Saccharomyces cerevisiae S288C: one gene and its partners. The protein of the gene in region 1 interacts with the protein of each later gene in a pairwise test. Each region holds a gene or a part of one and is shown in the gene's direction. Other genes may lie near its edges. The genes, in order: TOF2, FOB1, RIO1 and NET1.

Region 1 (4,598 bases):
GCTCAAAGGCTTTTAATGTTTAGGTAGTTACAGACCTTTTGCCGCCGTGAATTTTTGACGTCTTGTAGTGCTGTGATATAATTGGACTATAAATCATTACCCGGCCTTTTAAGGCATGAGTGGCGTTCCAACGTGCTGTCAAAACTATGAGACCAAAAACCAAAACACACCCCTAAGAAATGTATAGGGATTTATATCAGCATAAAGGTGCCATAATTAAAGAGATTTAGCCTGAACCCATTACTATTCTGTTACAGTTAAGTACTCATACAGACAGCTAGAAAAAGAAGAAGAAATACCAAGTACAAAGAAAGGAAACCATGTCCAAGTTAGAAACCGTTTACTTATACGCTGGTGAAGAACAACCACGTGTTAAATTGACCTGTATTAAGGAAGGTCTCACTTTAACTCAGGTTATCAAGTTCGTGCATTCTATTCAAGAATTGTACGGGATTGAGTTGCAAACTTCTGAGACCATAACAGAAAATTTGAAGATAGATTGTGCACCCGCATATTTGAAGCCGAATTGTATTCCCCATTTCTACATTCTCGAATATGAAGAAATAAGTGACACCTTTTTCATTTGGAAATCTGATGGTCGTTGGCAATTAAATAAGTTGTCTGCCTTGTTGTACGTGGATAACGACGCTAACGTGGTTAAGAACACTTCCTGGAAGGAGGTTTTCCAGAATGATCAACGATTTAAAAATTATGATAAACGGGCCTGGTTACAAAATTGTCTAGAAAAAATGAATAGAGATCTCTCAAAACTAAACGTTGAACAATTTTGGTCTCAATATGATAAAATATGTCAAAGCATTGCCAAACAAAAGAAAAAACAGGAACAGTTCAACATGGAGGTTTTCGATAACTTCAAAAATATTGTTTCTATTGCTATCATAAAGACCAAAGTTTTATCGAATAAGCGACTTTTGACAACAACTTTAAAAAATTATCATAACTCGATGAAGAAAAAGTATAACATCCAGGAACAAAATCTTAAGGAAAATAGTTTGGCATCGTGCTCAAACAATGAGCCTTCCGCATCTCTGGAAAGCGAATCAAGACATTTTTCTCCGGTAAATTCGCTGTCTCCTTCATCTTTGAGTACCGATGATGAGGCTGTCTCGACAGACTACATCTATAAAGGTCCTGAGTCTAAACCAAACGTGAATTTCATGCATTCAAGTGCTACAAACGATCTGATCAAGTCAAATTTTGAAAGCTATTTTAAATTGATGGCCGAAGACTATGAAACTTTTGACTTGAGAGCCTGGTCGAGACAAAGACCTCGAAAATTTCAGCTTGTGGAAAAAAAAAAAATCACTAAAAACCCTCCTAATAGCCATCATCCGCATAAAAATGGCAAAATATCATTTTAACTATTTCCGGGAAAACATGTCTTTTTATAGCATCTACATCCATTAAATCAAGAGAATAAAAGTAAAACTCCAAAAGTATGTACGTATATAGAACCAATTATTCAATCATTTATAGAAATGTGACCTGTTTTTTCTCTACTATTGTTACATAGGCATCACGAAAAAAAGTCGCATTATACGATACTGTTATATAATTTTTTTCATATTCTTCAGATCTCAAATGCAAGATGGTCCTAATTTGTTTGTTTGTTTATTTATTAGTTTCGCTGAAGAAGGAAAACAAGTCATTTTTGGTTAGCTACCCAATTATACAAGCATTCAATAAATACGCCAATCTTTTGCCACATTTCTTATAATATCCTTTGCCCTCCTTGGTGTTTGGTTCAAATAAGTAAATGATAAAAATGTGGAGGTTACAGATTGTACTGGTGCCGCCAAGTGCTCAAGATATTATCACATTTCTCGAAGCACGCTTGAATACTCCACAATCAGTGTCTCCTATGGTCCAGTATAATGAAGATATAATTACGCACAACAACAGTATCAATAACTGTAGCGACCCCTCTCCTACGAGCCCGTCTTCGCAAAATTCTATTCAGTCGAATCGTAGTAGTGATTTCATTAACTACCTCCCGAATTGTAAAAAGTTTTTACATTTTACGGACGGTGACAATACCCTTTTACAACTATCTAATGAAATTTTAACTAAATTTGATAGACTTTATCCAAATTTCAAAGAATCCATTGAAATCGTATCTCTACAAGATAGGCATGGTTGTGATTTGGACTCTGAATTTATAATAAAAGACGTATTTGAAAATGATGGTGTGGTTTTGGTAATTTTAAAAGATGAATTAGACTGGAGTAGAAATCAACATATTTCACTTTTACAATTGGCAAGACAGCGGAGACGGCAGGACAACAAGCCATCCACAAAATCCATCGTTACTGAAAAGAGAAAAAAGATCTCTAAGGAAGACTTATCTTCTATATCAAATAAAGATACAATGCATCTAATAGCTAAAAGCTCGCTCAAGAATAACTTCATTAATAAATCAAGAGTATCAACGCCGCTAATGAACGAAATTCTACCGCTTGCAAGCAAGTATGATGCACTGAATAAAGAAAAGTGTCCCATGCCACTTACTTCCACAGTAGTGGCATCAAATGTACACAAAGACGTAAAAGATCACGCTCGTGCTAAAGAGGGAGTTGTAACGCAAGGGAGTGATAACAATAAAGAAAATATACCTTCATCCACTCAACAACAGAAAAATGATGGCGCTAAAAGGGCCGAATCAAAGGATTTAGATCTTTTACGCAATTCGTCAGAAGATGCTGATTATGAACCCGCAGATGAAAACTCCCCTCAAATTTCGTTTGATTCGATTGATACCGACTTCCAATTGAGCACTACTTCTCATACTAATTCTGATATGCATATACAATATTCTAACCCCTCTAGTGGTGCTCATAGTCCCAGGAAGAGTTCCTTAGAAATTAAAGTTCAAAACAAAAAAGGTGATGATCTGCCATTGAACGACAAAGATATAGGTGAGAATTGTAGAAGGATAGAAGCATTTTCAGATGAAGAGGATTTTAATGAAACCGATAATGATCGTGCGGATTCGTTTATCAACAATTCTAAGAAGGCATCGATGGGATTTCGGGATATCAATTCCGACTTGGATAGCGTTTCATTCAACAGTGATATTGAAAATGCAGTACAAAGTACTCAAAGTACCAAAAATGTTGTTTCTCCTCCCTTTTTTCCTGAAAAAGAATTGAATAATCGGTTACATCAAAGTCAAGGTAAGGAAGCCCTATTTCGACTTGTTGAGAAGGAGTTTCCTGATAAATCATTGGGTGCTGCGTCATCTACTTCGCATGCAAAAGACGTAAAAATACAAGAAACTATTCGGAAACTAAATAGGTTCAAGCCAACTGGGGAAACTAAGGTCCAAAAAAGGAATAGTATTACGGAACCATATTACGGAAAATTTGGAATAATGAAGAAAGATAAACCCAAATCCATAACTTCAAAAGGGGTAAGTCTGGAAACAAAGCACTTTGATGATCCCAATACCATTATTTCCGGTGAGAAATTCGCAAAATTTGGTAAAATAAAAGTGAAACGAAAAACTGATGATGTTGGATCGAAAGTTATAGAGTTTAAAAGAAAAAGAAATATGGGGAATAGATCCCTAAAAGATATTTTTGCCAATGCTGGGAAACCGCCAAATGCAGCTTCGACCATAAAAGTAGTCAAATTAATGAGAGATCCTGTTGATAATAGTAAAGACAAAGTGGAGGCAACTTCTAATAGTACGGCTCAGGAACAAGAACAAGTCTCACCCAAGTTGCCAGTTATGAATTCAACTCCTGGAAAAAGAAAAAATGGCCAAGCGATACCGTCCAGTTTAGAAAGAACACCGCAGCTCAAGAAAGTCAAGGTTACCAGGTCGCATTCTTCACCTTCTTCTTCTTCTTCCATGTCACTTGAATCTTCATTGGATAGCTCTTCCTCAGATGATTCGGATGATGATTCTGATTCGAGGAACGTGCAAGTTAAAAAAATTAATTTCAAAACAAGTCATGGACCAGCTGGAAATTCTAATGGAAAACCAATGCTGGATGTGGATGACAATGAAATAAATACAAAGAAGTACCAAACACCTAAATATGTTGAAAGTGATGAAGACGACCAGTAAGTCTGTCAGTAATTATGTTGGGATCTCTCAACCATATCTTAAATATTCTTGGCGAATTGTAGTAATTTTTTAGACTGGTTAATGATATCATAATTAAATCTTCAAAAGCAACCAACAAAAGAGAACTAATAGCGTACGGTATGCATCAATTATATATGATTATAACGGACTTTTATTCATGGACGTTTATATCATTCTGGATTATTCGTCATTATTGTTCATTGTTGAACACAATATAAAAAAATATAAAATATGGTTGCTAAGAGATTCGAACTCTTGCATCTTACGATACCTGAGTATTCCCACAGTTAACTGCGGTCAAGATATTTCTTGAATCAGGCGCCTTAGACCGCTCGGCCAAACAACCACTTATTTGTTGAAAATTTTAGAATTCAAGTATACCCAGTCATGTATTAAGTTAATCTTTATGTCATCTTTCTAAACTTTATATGTGTTGGAATAAAAATCCACTATCGTCTATCAACTAATAGTTATATTATCAATA
Region 2 (4,109 bases), on another chromosome or scaffold:
TCTTCAATTGAGTTATCCATAGATTGTCCTATAATACAAGCGCGCATATTCGGATCTGCTATCGGTGATCGATTACCGTGATAGTCACCATAAAAAAACAAGTGCTTAGCTAAAGAAATAACAGATCTTACTTTGCGCTTCTCGACCAAGGTTTCAAGTATTTTGTTTAAATATTCGAATTTCGACACACCTGCCAAATTAGCCATATGGGATAGCTCAGTGAAAGCTGGATGCGTCGTTATTAAATGATCTAAAAGAACGCCTGTACAGCTTTGGCCGCCTTCTGCCGCCCAAAAGCCTCTTGCAAGGACATCTCTATAAGGCCCCCAAACGCCATGGACAAATATAGGGTTTTTTGATAACAAAATATGACACGTAGACGTACCGGCAACAGCTGCCAATCTGCCAATTGCACCATTGAAATCCTTTTTATAATTTTCGGTCTCGGCAAGACCTTTTACTGCTGATTCCGGCTTGGCGGCTACCGTCCCTACCCAGCCTGCATATGCATCAATAATTCCTGAACTTACTACACAATGCTCTGTCAAGCCTAATTGACAGGCAGCCTTTTTATCTAACGGGCTGATACATTCACCTGCGGTCAGAAAGTTTTTTTTTTCCCTTAACGATCCACCCAGTCTTTCAAAATCATTCTTCGTAAGCTCTGAAAGCCCAATTGAATTTAAGAATTCTTTGGACCAGCCTATATCGGAACCTTCGACACCCACTGGTAGAAATCCCTGCTTACAAACAGCAGAACAAAATGACCTATTCTCTTTTCCCGTGGCTTTGAAAGTCAAGTAATCCGGAAGGTCAAAAAACTTACAATCCTGAAAAATTCCAGCTTCTAAGTTGTTCTTCAACCACTTAATCTTCGGAATTTCCATTTCAACAGACATTTGCCCTCCCACATATTTTAAACATTTATCACCAGATGAGTTGATTTCTTCAGTCTCCTTCATCGCCCTATGGTCCATCCATAATATGATATTCTGGTCATTATTGGTAAAATCCGGTCCAACTGCAATTTCTTCAAAATTGGTAGCGGATACGACTACTAAGGAACAAGTCGCATCAAAACCAATTCCACGAACTCTTTCAGGGTCAACTCCTGATTCTTCAACAACAGTTCTAACACAATAGCAAACTGCATTCCAGATTTCTCTTGAAGACTGAGTAATAAAATTGGATATCAATTGTTCCCTTTTTATGGGTTTTTCTGCTAGCGACAACATGTTACCAGATTGATCGATAACACATGCCCTTGCAGAGCCTGTTCCGACATCTACACCAACGTAGAATTTTGCTTCTGGATCTTGTGGAGAAATGCGAGAAATCGAGGTTTCCTGTGACGACAATACCGCTGGCTCCCGTGTTTCATTTTGCATATTGTTTTGGCGTTTCCTGCTTTTCATATAGCCTTAATAATGTACTTTGCAGATGTTTGTTCCTTCGTCTCTTTACATCTTTTCATTGTACTCAGCGGTCTGGGTGTGCAGCTTTCCACATTTACTAATACTGGTCTGTAGCATTTAGTCAAACGGGTGTTATAAAGGTTCAATTTCTTCATCATACCTAACATTGTGATCGAGGTTTCCAGGAAGAGCTTATATATATCAAAACAAGAAACCCAGAGTATCTTTACCCCCACATTCAATATGAGGTGTCAGCCATAATTATTTACATGATAATACTGATATTTTTTCTTTTTCGCGATATATTGAAAAGAAAAAAAAATTGCGAGGTGATTCCTCATCGCATGTATTCATTTTAACGACATTGAATTAAGCCTTCAGGGGGGAGAACAATTTAACGATTGTGTGAGTGTGAATTTGTGCTGAGGATAACAATGACGAAACCGCGTTACAATGACGTGTTGTTTGATGATGATGACTCGGTACCATCAGAATCAGTTACGAGGAAATCGCAGAGAAGAAAGGCAACGTCACCTGGGGAATCAAGAGAGTCCTCAAAAGATCGTCTACTGATACTTCCCTCTATGGGGGAATCATATACTGAGTACGTAGACTCTTATTTGAACTTAGAATTATTGGAAAGGGGAGAAAGAGAAACACCAATCTTTCTTGAATCTCTGACAAGACAACTAACGCAGAAAATATATGAACTAATAAAAACAAAATCTTTAACTGCAGATACCTTGCAACAAATAAGTGATAAATACGATGGTGTAGTGGCAGAAAACAAGCTGTTATTTTTGCAAAGACAGTATTATGTTGATGATGAAGGAAATGTTAGAGATGGCCGAAATAATGATAAAATATACTGTGAGCCAAAGCATGTATACGACATGGTGATGGCAACACACTTGATGAATAAGCATCTTAGGGGTAAAACATTACATTCCTTTTTATTTTCTCATTTTGCCAATATTAGTCATGCCATCATCGATTGGGTCCAGCAATTTTGTTCAAAATGTAATAAAAAGGGCAAAATTAAACCATTGAAGGAATATAAACGTCCTGACATGTACGATAAACTACTACCAATGGAAAGGATACATATTGAGGTATTCGAACCCTTCAATGGAGAAGCTATTGAGGGAAAATATTCTTATGTCCTTTTATGCCGAGACTATCGCTCTAGTTTTATGTGGTTATTACCACTTAAGAGTACCAAATTCAAACATCTTATCCCAGTTGTTTCCTCACTTTTTTTAACATTTGCTAGGGTTCCAATTTTCGTAACATCAAGCACTTTAGATAAAGATGATCTTTATGATATTTGTGAAGAAATTGCATCAAAATACGGTCTCCGTATTGGCTTGGGTTTGAAGAGTTCTGCGAGATTTCATACTGGGGGTATACTGTGCATTCAGTATGCTCTAAATAGTTATAAGAAGGAATGTCTAGCCGATTGGGGTAAGTGCCTAAGATATGGCCCTTACAGATTCAACCGAAGGAGAAATAAGAGAACGAAACGTAAACCTGTGCAAGTACTACTTAGTGAAGTTCCAGGTCACAATGCCAAGTTTGAGACTAAGAGAGAAAGGGTTATAGAAAACACATATTCCCGTAATATGTTCAAGATGGCAGGTGGAAAAGGTCTTATATATTTGGAAGATGTCAATACTTTTGCCCTTGCTAATGAAGCGGATAATAGCTGTAACAATAATGGAATTCTTCATAATAACAATATAGGAAATGATAACTTTGAAGAAGAAGTGCAAAAACAATTTGATCTAACTGAAAAAAACTATATCGATGAGTATGATGATTTGGCACATGATTCTTCAGAGGGCGAATTTGAACCTAATACCTTAACTCCCGAAGAAAAGCCTCCTCATAATGTCGATGAGGACCGAATAGAGTCCACCGGCGTGGCAGCCCCAATGCAGGGAACAGAAGAGCCTGAAAAAGGGGATCAAAAAGAAAGTGACGGTGCATCACAAGTAGATCAAAGTGTCGAAATAACTAGACCAGAAACTTCCTACTATCAAACTCTGGAATCGCCGTCAACAAAACGACAGAAATTAGACCAACAGGGTAATGGAGATCAAACAAGAGACTTTGGCACATCAATGGAATTGTAATAATATGTAGGATAGAATGAAAGGAGGAGTCACCATAGGTGAAAAAAAAAAGCACCTATTGCATATAAAGTATTCAAAAAGGTGTTGAAAGCTCTTCCTGTATATGACCCTGTATTTAATGTACGCGGTTAAAAAATTTTTATATTTTTAAATAAGTATCAACTTGGATAATATGATCTTGCCCGCAAGGTGGTTTTATATGAATAATTACTTTTTTTTTTTTTTTTTTTTTTTTTTTTTTTTTTTAATTGAACAATAGATGCAGAGGAATGCTCCAAAATTTATTTCCTTGAACAATATTACAAGAGGCAGATATATACTTTTCCTTATTTCCCTTAGTAAAGAATGATGCATGTATACTATTACAAATTTAAACTTCACCCCCACCATGGATGCAAAACAAATAGAAAGCCATTATCATTAGTTTTTTTTTTTCATTCAATTACGATACTTGCTGAAGAAATCTTGATGAAATTCTTTCCAGTCTTGAATCCATTTAGTCCCTGGAGCCAAAAACGTTGTTCGCACATGATAAGTCCCGGGTCTTTGTCCGAACCCA
Region 3 (4,010 bases), on another chromosome or scaffold:
GGGATTTCGCTTCCTATTTTACAAATATTTTATTGATTGACGCTAATTATCACTGTAAAAGGCGCACTTTTTATATGTAGTCACATCCGGTATTTAACATATTTACGAAACAGTCTTAAGAATATCGACATTTGATATACTTATGTTTAATTTATCTACATATTACAATCATACGAGAAACACGCAAAAACAATTACTTGAATACTTCGAAAGGAGACCAATTTGGATGTACAACCCTTTTTTCGCCCTTTTCCTTCGATATGTTATTGATAGCTTCAAAGTCCTCAGTAGACAAAGTAAATATTTTCCTGTTCGTTTTGATTCGATCGGGATTCACAGATTTTGGCAAGACAACATAACCTCTTTGGACGTGCCAGCTAATAACAACGTGTCCGGGTTGAACGTTATTTTTCTTCGCAATTTCAAGGATAACCGGTTCCTTCAATAGTGGAGCATCGGTACTACCTAACGGAGAATAAGCTTCAACCACAATGCCTTTACTTTTACAAAAATTAATCAATTCGTCTTGAGGTAGTAATGGATGTATTTCGACTTGGTTAGCAGCTGGCGTAAGCTTATTACCTTGAGATGCTAATAGATCTTTCAGGTTATTTATAGAAAAGTTGGAGACTCCAACGGCCTTAGTTTTACCAGTCTTTGGTAGTTCCTGCATTAATTCCCAGGTTTTGATGAAATTCCAATTGGTGATATCCACTGCACGAGAACCATCCTTCTTTGTTGGCACACTCAAGATGTCTTCATTTTTGATGTAGGCTGGATCTAATCTGGCAGGCCAATGCATCAAATATAAGTCTACGTAGTCCAATCCTAACCTCTTTAGTGATTGATCCAGCGCTACTTCAGGTTCGTGGTGTTGTGTACACCATAACTTTGTAGTAACAAAGATTTCTTCCCGAGGAACACCTGAATCCTTGATGGCTTGACCGACTTGGTCTTCATTACGGTAAATAGCAGCAGTATCAATGTGTCGGTAGCCATCTTTCAAAGCGGTTAAAACAGCCTTATAAGCATCGTTCTCTTTCGACTGCCACGTACCTAAACCTATTTGAGGGATTTGGGCTCCAGTATTTAGAGAAAGGATTTTCGTAGAATCATGTAAAGTAGCAGGCATTTTTCTATCTTAATTTAGTAATGAGAGCTGTCCAAATTTTAGCTTGCTAAGATGCACCTATTAAGCTCTCATCCTGAATCAAGTCATTAGAATGTCTTGATTCTCCCGGTTTTATACGCCCAGTAAAGCAATTCTTTACTGCCGTAGTCTTTTCCTGAAAGCTCGGTTTCTACTCTAGGGAATTAAGGAGAGCAGCGGTGTGCGATTCGTCACACGGGTGAATGCCTGATAGGCATATTATTAAGCCGTGTTTGCAATCTGCGTGCTAGATTGATTCTACCCCTTTCTGAGAAGGCGAAATGACCTTGCTATGACAATGAGGGAGAAAAGACCGCCCTTCCTTGTTCTTCCCCGGAATAGTCTGCCCCGATTGTTCGCCGGTGTTATAACTTACAATTCTTATACACTCCATAGGAAGTTTGTTGACAAGAGTTAAGTTTCAAATATCTAAAGCCAGGAAGTATGATCACCCAAGCATATCCATTGCAATATGTAAGACATTCAAGCGGATTTCTGGGACTTTAGAAAGTGAAATTTAAAAAAAAAAAAATTTAACAGAGGTCATACTTCCAAAAAAAAAAAAATGTAGAACTGGGCGAAATATCATCAGCTCATTCACTCTAATGCGGCCCTTCTGTAACCTCGAGCAAAGAGCCCAAATAACTTCATCTCTTCTCTCTTACGAACTGAAATATTCTCATGTTACCTATTGAGTAGTTGCGGGGACATTGGCGCGCGCAGAAAGAGTGAAAAATTTTATAGTGGAATATAGAAATTGAGATGAGATGAGATACTAAGACTAAAAATAATAGTAAAAAGAAGTTAAAACAGATTTAGAGATTCAAACTCCGTTATTTTTAGAAGGTCATGTCCTTGGAAGATAAATTTGATTCATTGTCTGTGTCGCAAGGTGCCTCGGACCATATTAATAATCAGCTCTTAGAGAAGTATAGTCACAAAATAAAAACTGATGAATTATCATTCAGCAGAGCGAAAACATCAAAGGATAAAGCAAATAGGGCGACTGTGGAAAATGTCTTAGATCCGAGAACTATGAGATTTTTGAAGTCTATGGTCACCAGAGGTGTGATTGCAGATTTGAACGGTTGCTTAAGTACTGGGAAAGAAGCTAATGTTTACCACGCTTTTGCAGGTACCGGTAAGGCACCCGTAATAGATGAGGAAACAGGCCAGTATGAAGTTTTAGAGACAGACGGATCCCGTGCAGAATATGCCATTAAGATTTATAAGACCTCTATCCTAGTCTTCAAAGATCGTGAAAGATATGTTGATGGTGAATTTAGATTTAGAAATTCCAGATCTCAACATAATCCAAGGAAAATGATTAAAATTTGGGCTGAAAAGGAATTTAGGAACCTGAAAAGAATTTATCAAAGTGGCGTCATTCCAGCTCCTAAGCCAATAGAAGTTAAGAACAACGTCTTAGTTATGGAATTTTTAAGCCGAGGTAATGGATTTGCCTCACCTAAATTAAAAGATTATCCGTACAAGAATCGTGATGAAATTTTCCATTATTATCACACAATGGTGGCATATATGAGATTGCTGTACCAAGTTTGTCGCCTGGTTCATGCCGATTTGTCAGAGTATAACACCATAGTTCATGATGATAAACTATATATGATCGATGTTTCCCAAAGTGTGGAACCTGAACATCCAATGAGTTTAGATTTTTTAAGGATGGATATCAAAAACGTTAACCTTTATTTCGAGAAGATGGGTATAAGTATTTTCCCTGAAAGGGTTATTTTTCAATTTGTCATATCAGAAACTTTGGAGAAATTTAAAGGTGATTATAACAATATTAGCGCCTTGGTTGCATACATTGCTAGTAATCTACCAATAAAATCTACAGAACAAGATGAGGCAGAAGATGAAATATTCAGATCGCTGCATTTAGTTAGATCATTGGGTGGATTAGAGGAAAGAGATTTTGATAGGTATACTGATGGTAAGTTTGACTTACTGAAAAGCTTGATTGCCCATGATAATGAACGCAATTTTGCTGCTTCTGAGCAATTTGAATTTGATAACGCTGACCACGAATGTAGTTCTGGCACAGAGGAATTCTCAGATGATGAAGAAGACGGCTCAAGCGGATCTGAAGAAGATGACGAGGAGGAGGGCGAGTACTATGACGATGATGAACCAAAAGTTTTAAAGGGGAAGAAACATGAGGACAAGGATTTAAAAAAATTGCGCAAGCAGGAAGCTAAAGATGCAAAAAGAGAAAAAAGGAAAACAAAAGTCAAGAAGCACATCAAGAAAAAATTGGTGAAAAAAACGAAATCAAAGAAATAATGCGGCCCTGTGAAAATACATTTGGGAATCGTTGTTTGGAGTCGAAGAACAGAAAGTAGGTCAGCAATTTAACGAAGAAAGTTCAAGACTAAAAGTGTAATATCAGTATCAAAAGTTTGGTACTTTTCATACAAGTGCAATAAATATTAAAATAAACAATAGCCTTATTTAGTGGTCTTGATTTTTAGTGAAATCAATCCCAATAACTAAAAACAGCAAAAAAGGCAGGCATCACATTGAACCGCCACCTTGATGTTGGCCAACTAAACCTGCCATTTCCAGTAAGGCACGGTCTTCTCCCAAGCTTCTCAGGTTAATTTGCTGTCTTCTTTTAGATTCTGCTTCTTCCCATTCCAACTGTTTGATTTGCTCTTCTAGTTCTTTCTCACCACCACAGCCCCATACCTCAACATCTTGAATCAAAAAATGCAATTCATAAGGGGAATTTTCCTCCTTTCTTTCCATCGACAATAAACCAGGGTCTAATGAACCTCCGTAACCAGTATTTCTAAACACAGCAAATTCTAATGTGCTGTCAAAAGTAAGCGACACGTTC
Region 4 (5,728 bases), on another chromosome or scaffold:
ATCTCGGCGGTTGACTTCCAAACCACCTGTGTGAAGTGACCCGTGGATTCAGAAAATCCGGGATTTGAATAATTATACTTGCTTATCTCCCCGTACCAGGCGTCCACCGCTCCCGTGTCTGTGTAACCAAGGGCAAGGTTCTCACCATATGGGCCATCGGAATGCGTTAAGACACCCGAACAATCATATTGGTCGGCGTAGTTCTGCGCATAGGTGGCCAGAGTGTCGGACCAGGTGAGCGGCGCTGTGTCAACATGTAGCGCTCTGAACTTGTTATGCTCGTTCAGCACATCGCTCTCGAAGTTTGGAAACGTGGTTTGTGCCTTGACGGCTACTAGGCATCCTAGCAGAACTGATATTGGAAACTCCAGCATAAGCGTTTTCGTTTTAAGTTGTTTTAAGTTGTTTGGAGTTGCAGGGGTGCAGCAATTATAATTTTATGCCGATATTGGTTTGGCAACTACCGAAAAGCAAGAAGCTAAAAACTTTGAAGTATAGAATATGTTTTAGAGAATTCTTCGACCGAGTTGAAACATGAGAACTGTTTCATCGGCCCTATATAGCAATTACATCCTTCCGTTGCTGGGTCCCTGCCTAGATACCATATTTGTTGTTGAATTAACCGCGGGAACCCGCAATATACGAAAGACGAACACAAGAGAGCAAGCACACACAGCTAGTGCGTAGCGTTGCTAGCTATATTGCCATGGTACCTACCTTTCACCTCCTTGTTAAATCCATAAGTGGACGGTTTTCCTAAACCAGTATTTATCAGTTCTCGAGCACGCAGAGAAAAGTAAACGAAGCGACCTGCATTGCGGTAACTATAAACACCCAGCCGCCTCCAGCAGAACCAGCCATGTGCGAAGAAAAACAATTTTTCGGCCAAACTTACCAACAATAGCGACGCGTTCCTCACATCGTTGGGTTTTTTTCGCCTCTCTTCAAGTTTCCTATACCCGAGCTTAACACAACACAACGGACCCTCTTAATTAGAGGTATCCTCCGTTCTTTTCTTCCGCTTTCCTAATCGAGATACCAGAGCACGGAACAGGACCCTAGTGCATCGGAGAGGAGATCCGTGGCACGCTCACTGCGCCTTTCACTATCACCGATTTCGTAATTCGAACAGGAGTATTTCGCTGCAGGGGAATTACTGTTTGTAGACGAGGGAAAGCAATTATCAGATACATGCCAGGGATAGCGTTCAAGGGGAAAGACATGGTTAAGGCAATACAGTTTTTAGAAATAGTCGTTCCTTGCCACTGTACGACCTGAACTTTACTCAACGAAAAAAAAATTGGAAAAAAAATAGTGCATAACGTTGCTATTAACAGATGTAGTACTGATATGTCCCTGATTGGTGAAGAGTCAGAATGATATAAGCCTATTTGATATGTACGTGTACGTATTCGAAAATAAGATTTGTTTCTCGTAGGGAGCGATATGTGCATTATGTTACCCGTTCCACATGTTTTGAACTTTTTTTCTTTTTCATGGTAAGCGTCAATAATCAATTTGAATAACTAGTGAAGAGTAGCTAGCACGATGAAATAAGTGCCGGAGCTGATCGAATCCCTAGTCTCGGTTCGCCTGAAACAGAGAGAAGTCGATTACTGTACACCGTGCCTCCTTCTATGTACAAGCTACAAGTGGTCTTGGTGCCTCCGAGTCTTCAGGCGACGATGCCAATACAGTTTGGCTACGGACCAACCATCGCCGAATCTTCTCAATTGTTGCCAAACAGAACTAATATGGCGCAAAGCGCCGGAGATGCCTCTTTGCAGTATGCTAATCTGAGATCTGCCAATGTGAGTTTCACGCCAAGCTATTTCAACCAGTCTAGGTTTAGGAAGTTTCTTTTGTTTACCAAGCCGACAAACACGCTGTTGAACTTGAGTGATGAAATCATCGATAAGTGTGAAAAAATGTACCCGAGTTTGCAAGAAGACATTGAAATTTTGAGTTTGCAAGATAACAGCGGTTGTGACCTTGATCCGGATTTTTTGGTAAAGGACGTTTTCAATGTAAATAATATCGTAAGAGTTATATTGAAGAATGAGATAGATCTGGACGATTCCGCACCAGTGTCACTTTATAAGTCGGTAAAACGATCCAAGTTGAACAACGGGTCGCCCCAGTCGGTGCAGCCGCAACAACAAATCCCGTCCTCTTCAGGTGTTCTTCGGATTGCCAAGAAGAGGCCACCTACAGGAACCACGACAACAACAACCATTCGTAGTGCCACTAATGGATCCATGAGGGTTTCTACCCCATTGGCTAGGCAAATTTATCCTCCACCTTCTTCGAAGATCGTCTCCAACAACTCAGATGACGAAGACGAAGACATTGGTGAAAGATCCTTTTTGCCGCCTCCAACGCAGCCTCAGTCACCTCCCATAAGAATTAGTTCGGGCATTGACGCAGGTAAAAAAATAAAATCAAGCATCGTCGAGGAAGATATCGTGTCCAGATCAGCAACCGTGGATCCAGATAAAACAAAGCAGCAACGTCTATTGTCCGGAACTCCTATAATGTCCACCATGACTCCAAACAGAGTTACTCTTACCGGTCAGAGAGTGGTTTCTGAACACGCACATAAAAACGAATTGGTTTTCTCTGCTTCAGCTTCTTCCTCTTCATTTGCTAATGGTGGCACAGCTGCTGTCACTGCTCAGGACATTAATAGGAAACCACCCGTAACCACTCCAAGAATAACATCAGGAATGTTGAAAATCCCCGAGCCAAGAATCTCAGAGATTGAAAAAGAGTTAAAAGAGGGACCTTCCAGTCCGGCCTCCATTTTACCCGCTAAAGCTGCAAAGATTCCAATGAAAAAACCTTACTTGGAAAATGGCGAGAACTACGAATCCGACGATAGCTCAAGTAGCGAAAACCAAGAAACTCCTGAAACAGAACCACATTCAAAGGCTTCCTTGCAACGTAGTCAAAGCTCCATCGCAGATAATAATGGCTCTCCGGTGAAAAATAGTCCTCTCGGTGATGCCATGCCACACAATGTGCATTTAGCAGAACTTCCCAAGGCAAGCAATACCTCGATCACCAAATCTTCAAATGGCGAATCCTGGGGAAAGCAACAAGAACATCAACCACCAAGAAAGAGTTCACTGGAAACTATAGTGGAAAAGAAATCTCAGGCGGAACCTTCCGGTATTGTGGAACCGAAAAGAATGACTAATTTCCTAGATGATAATCAGGTAAGAGAAAAAGAAGATACGAATGATAAACTTTTAGAAAAGGAAATTTTGCCGACAATTCCACATAATGATCAGCCAATACTTGCATCATCTGATAAGTCTAATGGGACGTTGAAATCACTAGCTGGGAAAGTTAGTTCAAACAACAACGCTTCAAAGGAAGATGGCACTATCATTAACGGCACCATTGAGGACGATGGCAATGATAATGATGAAGTTGATACTACGGTTCGTATTGTTCCTCAAGATTCAGATTCCTCTAGTTTCCCAAAGTCAGATCTTTTCAAAATGATCGAAGGTGATGATACAGATCTACCGCAATGGTTTAAGGGCAAAAATTCGAGAACTTCCGGTAATTCCAAAAATTCAAAGCCTTACACAACGGTTTTGAATAAAGACATAGACAATTCTAAGCCAGATCCAAGAAATATTTTGCCCCAGCGAACCCCAAGAAGTGCGGCTAAGAGGGCTGCCCAATTATTGGCAGGTGCCAAGAAAAACGAAGTCCCACAGAAAAGTACTGAAGATTCTAGTTCGGCAGCGTCCACAGACGATGAGTCAGAGAGTGGGATTGAAACAGATTTCTCATCAGACGATGATTTTAAAAGGAAAAATATGTCGGTGCCTAATAATGGGCCCAAAGACATTTCTTTACATTCTTTGAAAGGCAGTGTTGTTCCAGTGAAAGACTCAAAGATAATCAATAAAGAAGTTGATGAAGAAAGAAACGACAAAAGAGATAGTCAAAAAAAGTCAGCCGTGAGTGAATCTTCAGTAACAAATAGCAAAATAAGTGAACAAATGGCGAAAAGCTTTTATCCGAATTCAAACAAGAAGCAAAATGAAGCTACAAAGGTGGAAACTAAGCCAGCAACACAAGCATCGTCTTTTCCTGTTGTTGGTGGGTCTCCTTCTGTTGCTACTAAAGGAACTACCTCTTTCAATGAAGAAGGAAATCGTAAAAATGTTAAAACGAAGGCCAAGAATGAGTCTGCGCAGATTGATAGGCAGCAGAAGGAAACAACTTCTAGGGTTGCAGATTTGAAAAGCGCAAACATAGGAGGTGAAGACTTGAACAAGAAAGCAGAGGGGTCCAAGGAACCAGAAAAAGCATCTGCCAATATACAGGATGCTAACGATAAAAATAACTCGAAGGAAAAAGAAGACTCCAAAAGCAAACAGGTATCTCAGAAAAAGTTAAAAATGACAGATCACTTAAAAGAAGGCAATGTTCAGCTTCCTAAGCCCAGTGCAAATGATAAATTGAAGGATTTGAAGGCTAAATTTACTAATAGTAAAACACTCGTGCCACCTGGAATAATTTCTAATGAAAAAAATAATTCTAGTGCAAACGATGATGATTCTAGCTCCTCAGGTTCTTCCACAGAAGACGAGTCTAGTTCATCTTCCTCGTCTTCTGATGAGGAAACTTCAACATCCAGGAAGGCTAGAAGAGTTGTTGTAAATACACCAAGAGAACCAGTTAGATCTTCATCTAAGATTGAAGCCCCCTCTCCATCTGTTAACAAAAAAATCAATGCCACCCCTGATAAAATTCCAGTTACACAGCTAATGGACATGTCGTCTCCTCCGTCAGTTAAATCCAAGACCACCTCAAATCCGTCTAGTATACTTCATGACCTTCCAAGAAAAGTTCGTCCTTCTTTGAGTTCATTATCTGATCTTGTTTCAAGAGGCATCCCAGATGTAAAGGAAAAAACTTCTAAATCGAATGAGAAGTCACAAACAAAAGCCCCTTCAAGTAGTGATGATGAATCTAGCTCTGATTCTGACTCTAACTCCAGTTCGGACTCCGTATCGGATTCCAGTTCAGATTCTAAATCTGAGTCAGATTCTGATGACTCAGGGGATTCATCTGATGATGGAAAAAGTTTTATTAGTGCGAAATCCGCTAGTGCTGCTTTAGGTAAGAAGAAGAAGCCAAGTGGTGGATTTGCATCATTAATAAAAGATTTCAAGAAAAAATGATACCAGAAAGTCTCAGTAGAATACACGTCACAGAAAGCTAGTAAAAAAAAATAATCAAGCATATAAAAGTATTAATATATTAAAAAATCTTCATGTAAACCAATTCTTATTTACCTCTTTTCCCAGCAAGCGGGCAACTTCTTTAAGAAAAGTAATCTTTTTTGTACGTCGAATTATCAAAGCTTGGTTACTATATTTAACATTATTGTTTAGTAACAGTATCATCTTAAAAGAAAATTTTTTAAAATTCCAATATAGGAGACAATGGTAATAATTACATACAAATAGCTATTTATGTAAGCAAAACTGATATTTTTATATACAAATCGTTTCAAATATCTCTTAGACTTCAGCGAATTTATTGCTACCTCTAATGAATCCGATTGCTTCTTCTCTATTGACCTCAATAACCGTGGAAATCTTATTCTCGTACTTAACACGGAAAAATTTGTCTGCAACTTGCAACATATCTGTTCTGAACGTCGTACAAATAAACTGGGCATTTTTTGACAGTTCTTTTA

Evidence for each region.
Region 2: the proteins of TOF2 (region 1) and FOB1 interact in a two-hybrid assay, tested with the Saccharomyces cerevisiae proteins (one study listed by BioGRID).
Region 3: the proteins of TOF2 (region 1) and RIO1 interact in a two-hybrid assay, tested with the Saccharomyces cerevisiae proteins (one study listed by BioGRID).
Region 4: the proteins of TOF2 (region 1) and NET1 interact in binary tests that used the Saccharomyces cerevisiae proteins (3 or more experiments, as listed by UniProt).

What each region holds. Positions count from the first base shown.
Region 1 is NC_001143.9:458,419-463,016, reverse strand, and holds TOF2 (Tof2p), read left to right. Parts: upstream 1-1,777; coding exon 1,778-4,093; downstream 4,094-4,598. Other genes in the region: chromatin-associated RNAPIII regulator FPT1, read left to right, coding at 321-1,382.
Region 2 is NC_001136.10:674,253-678,361, forward strand, and holds FOB1 (replication fork barrier binding protein FOB1), read left to right. Parts: upstream 1-1,849; coding exon 1,850-3,550; downstream 3,551-4,109. Other genes in the region: YDR109C (putative phosphotransferase), read right to left, coding at 1-1,415; alanine transaminase ALT2, read right to left, coding at 3,989-4,109.
Region 3 is NC_001147.6:548,236-552,245, reverse strand, and holds RIO1 (protein kinase RIO1), read left to right. Parts: upstream 1-1,999; coding exon 2,000-3,454; downstream 3,455-4,010. Other genes in the region: glycerol 2-dehydrogenase (NADP(+)) GCY1, read right to left, coding at 194-1,132; RTC5 (Rtc5p), read right to left, coding at 3,686-4,010. UniProt on the Saccharomyces cerevisiae protein: Required for the final endonucleolytic cleavage at site D converting 20S pre-rRNA into the mature 18S rRNA. Required for the final steps of cytoplasmic maturation of the 40S ribosomal subunit.
Region 4 is NC_001142.9:293,608-299,335, forward strand, and holds NET1 (Net1p), read left to right. Parts: upstream 1-1,637; coding exon 1,638-5,207; downstream 5,208-5,728. Other genes in the region: PRY3 (Pry3p), read right to left, coding at 1-374; YJL077W-B (uncharacterized protein), read left to right, coding at 440-538; ICS3 (Ics3p), read right to left, coding at 1,059-1,454; YJL077W-A (uncharacterized protein), read left to right, coding at 1,192-1,278; APQ13 (Apq13p), read right to left, coding at 4,853-5,269; cohesin subunit SMC3, read right to left, coding at 5,550-5,728. UniProt on the Saccharomyces cerevisiae protein: Has a role in chromosome maintenance and is involved in mitotic exit. Inhibits the action of CDC14 by sequestering it in the nucleolus. Also binds to RNA polymerase I and stimulates rRNA synthesis.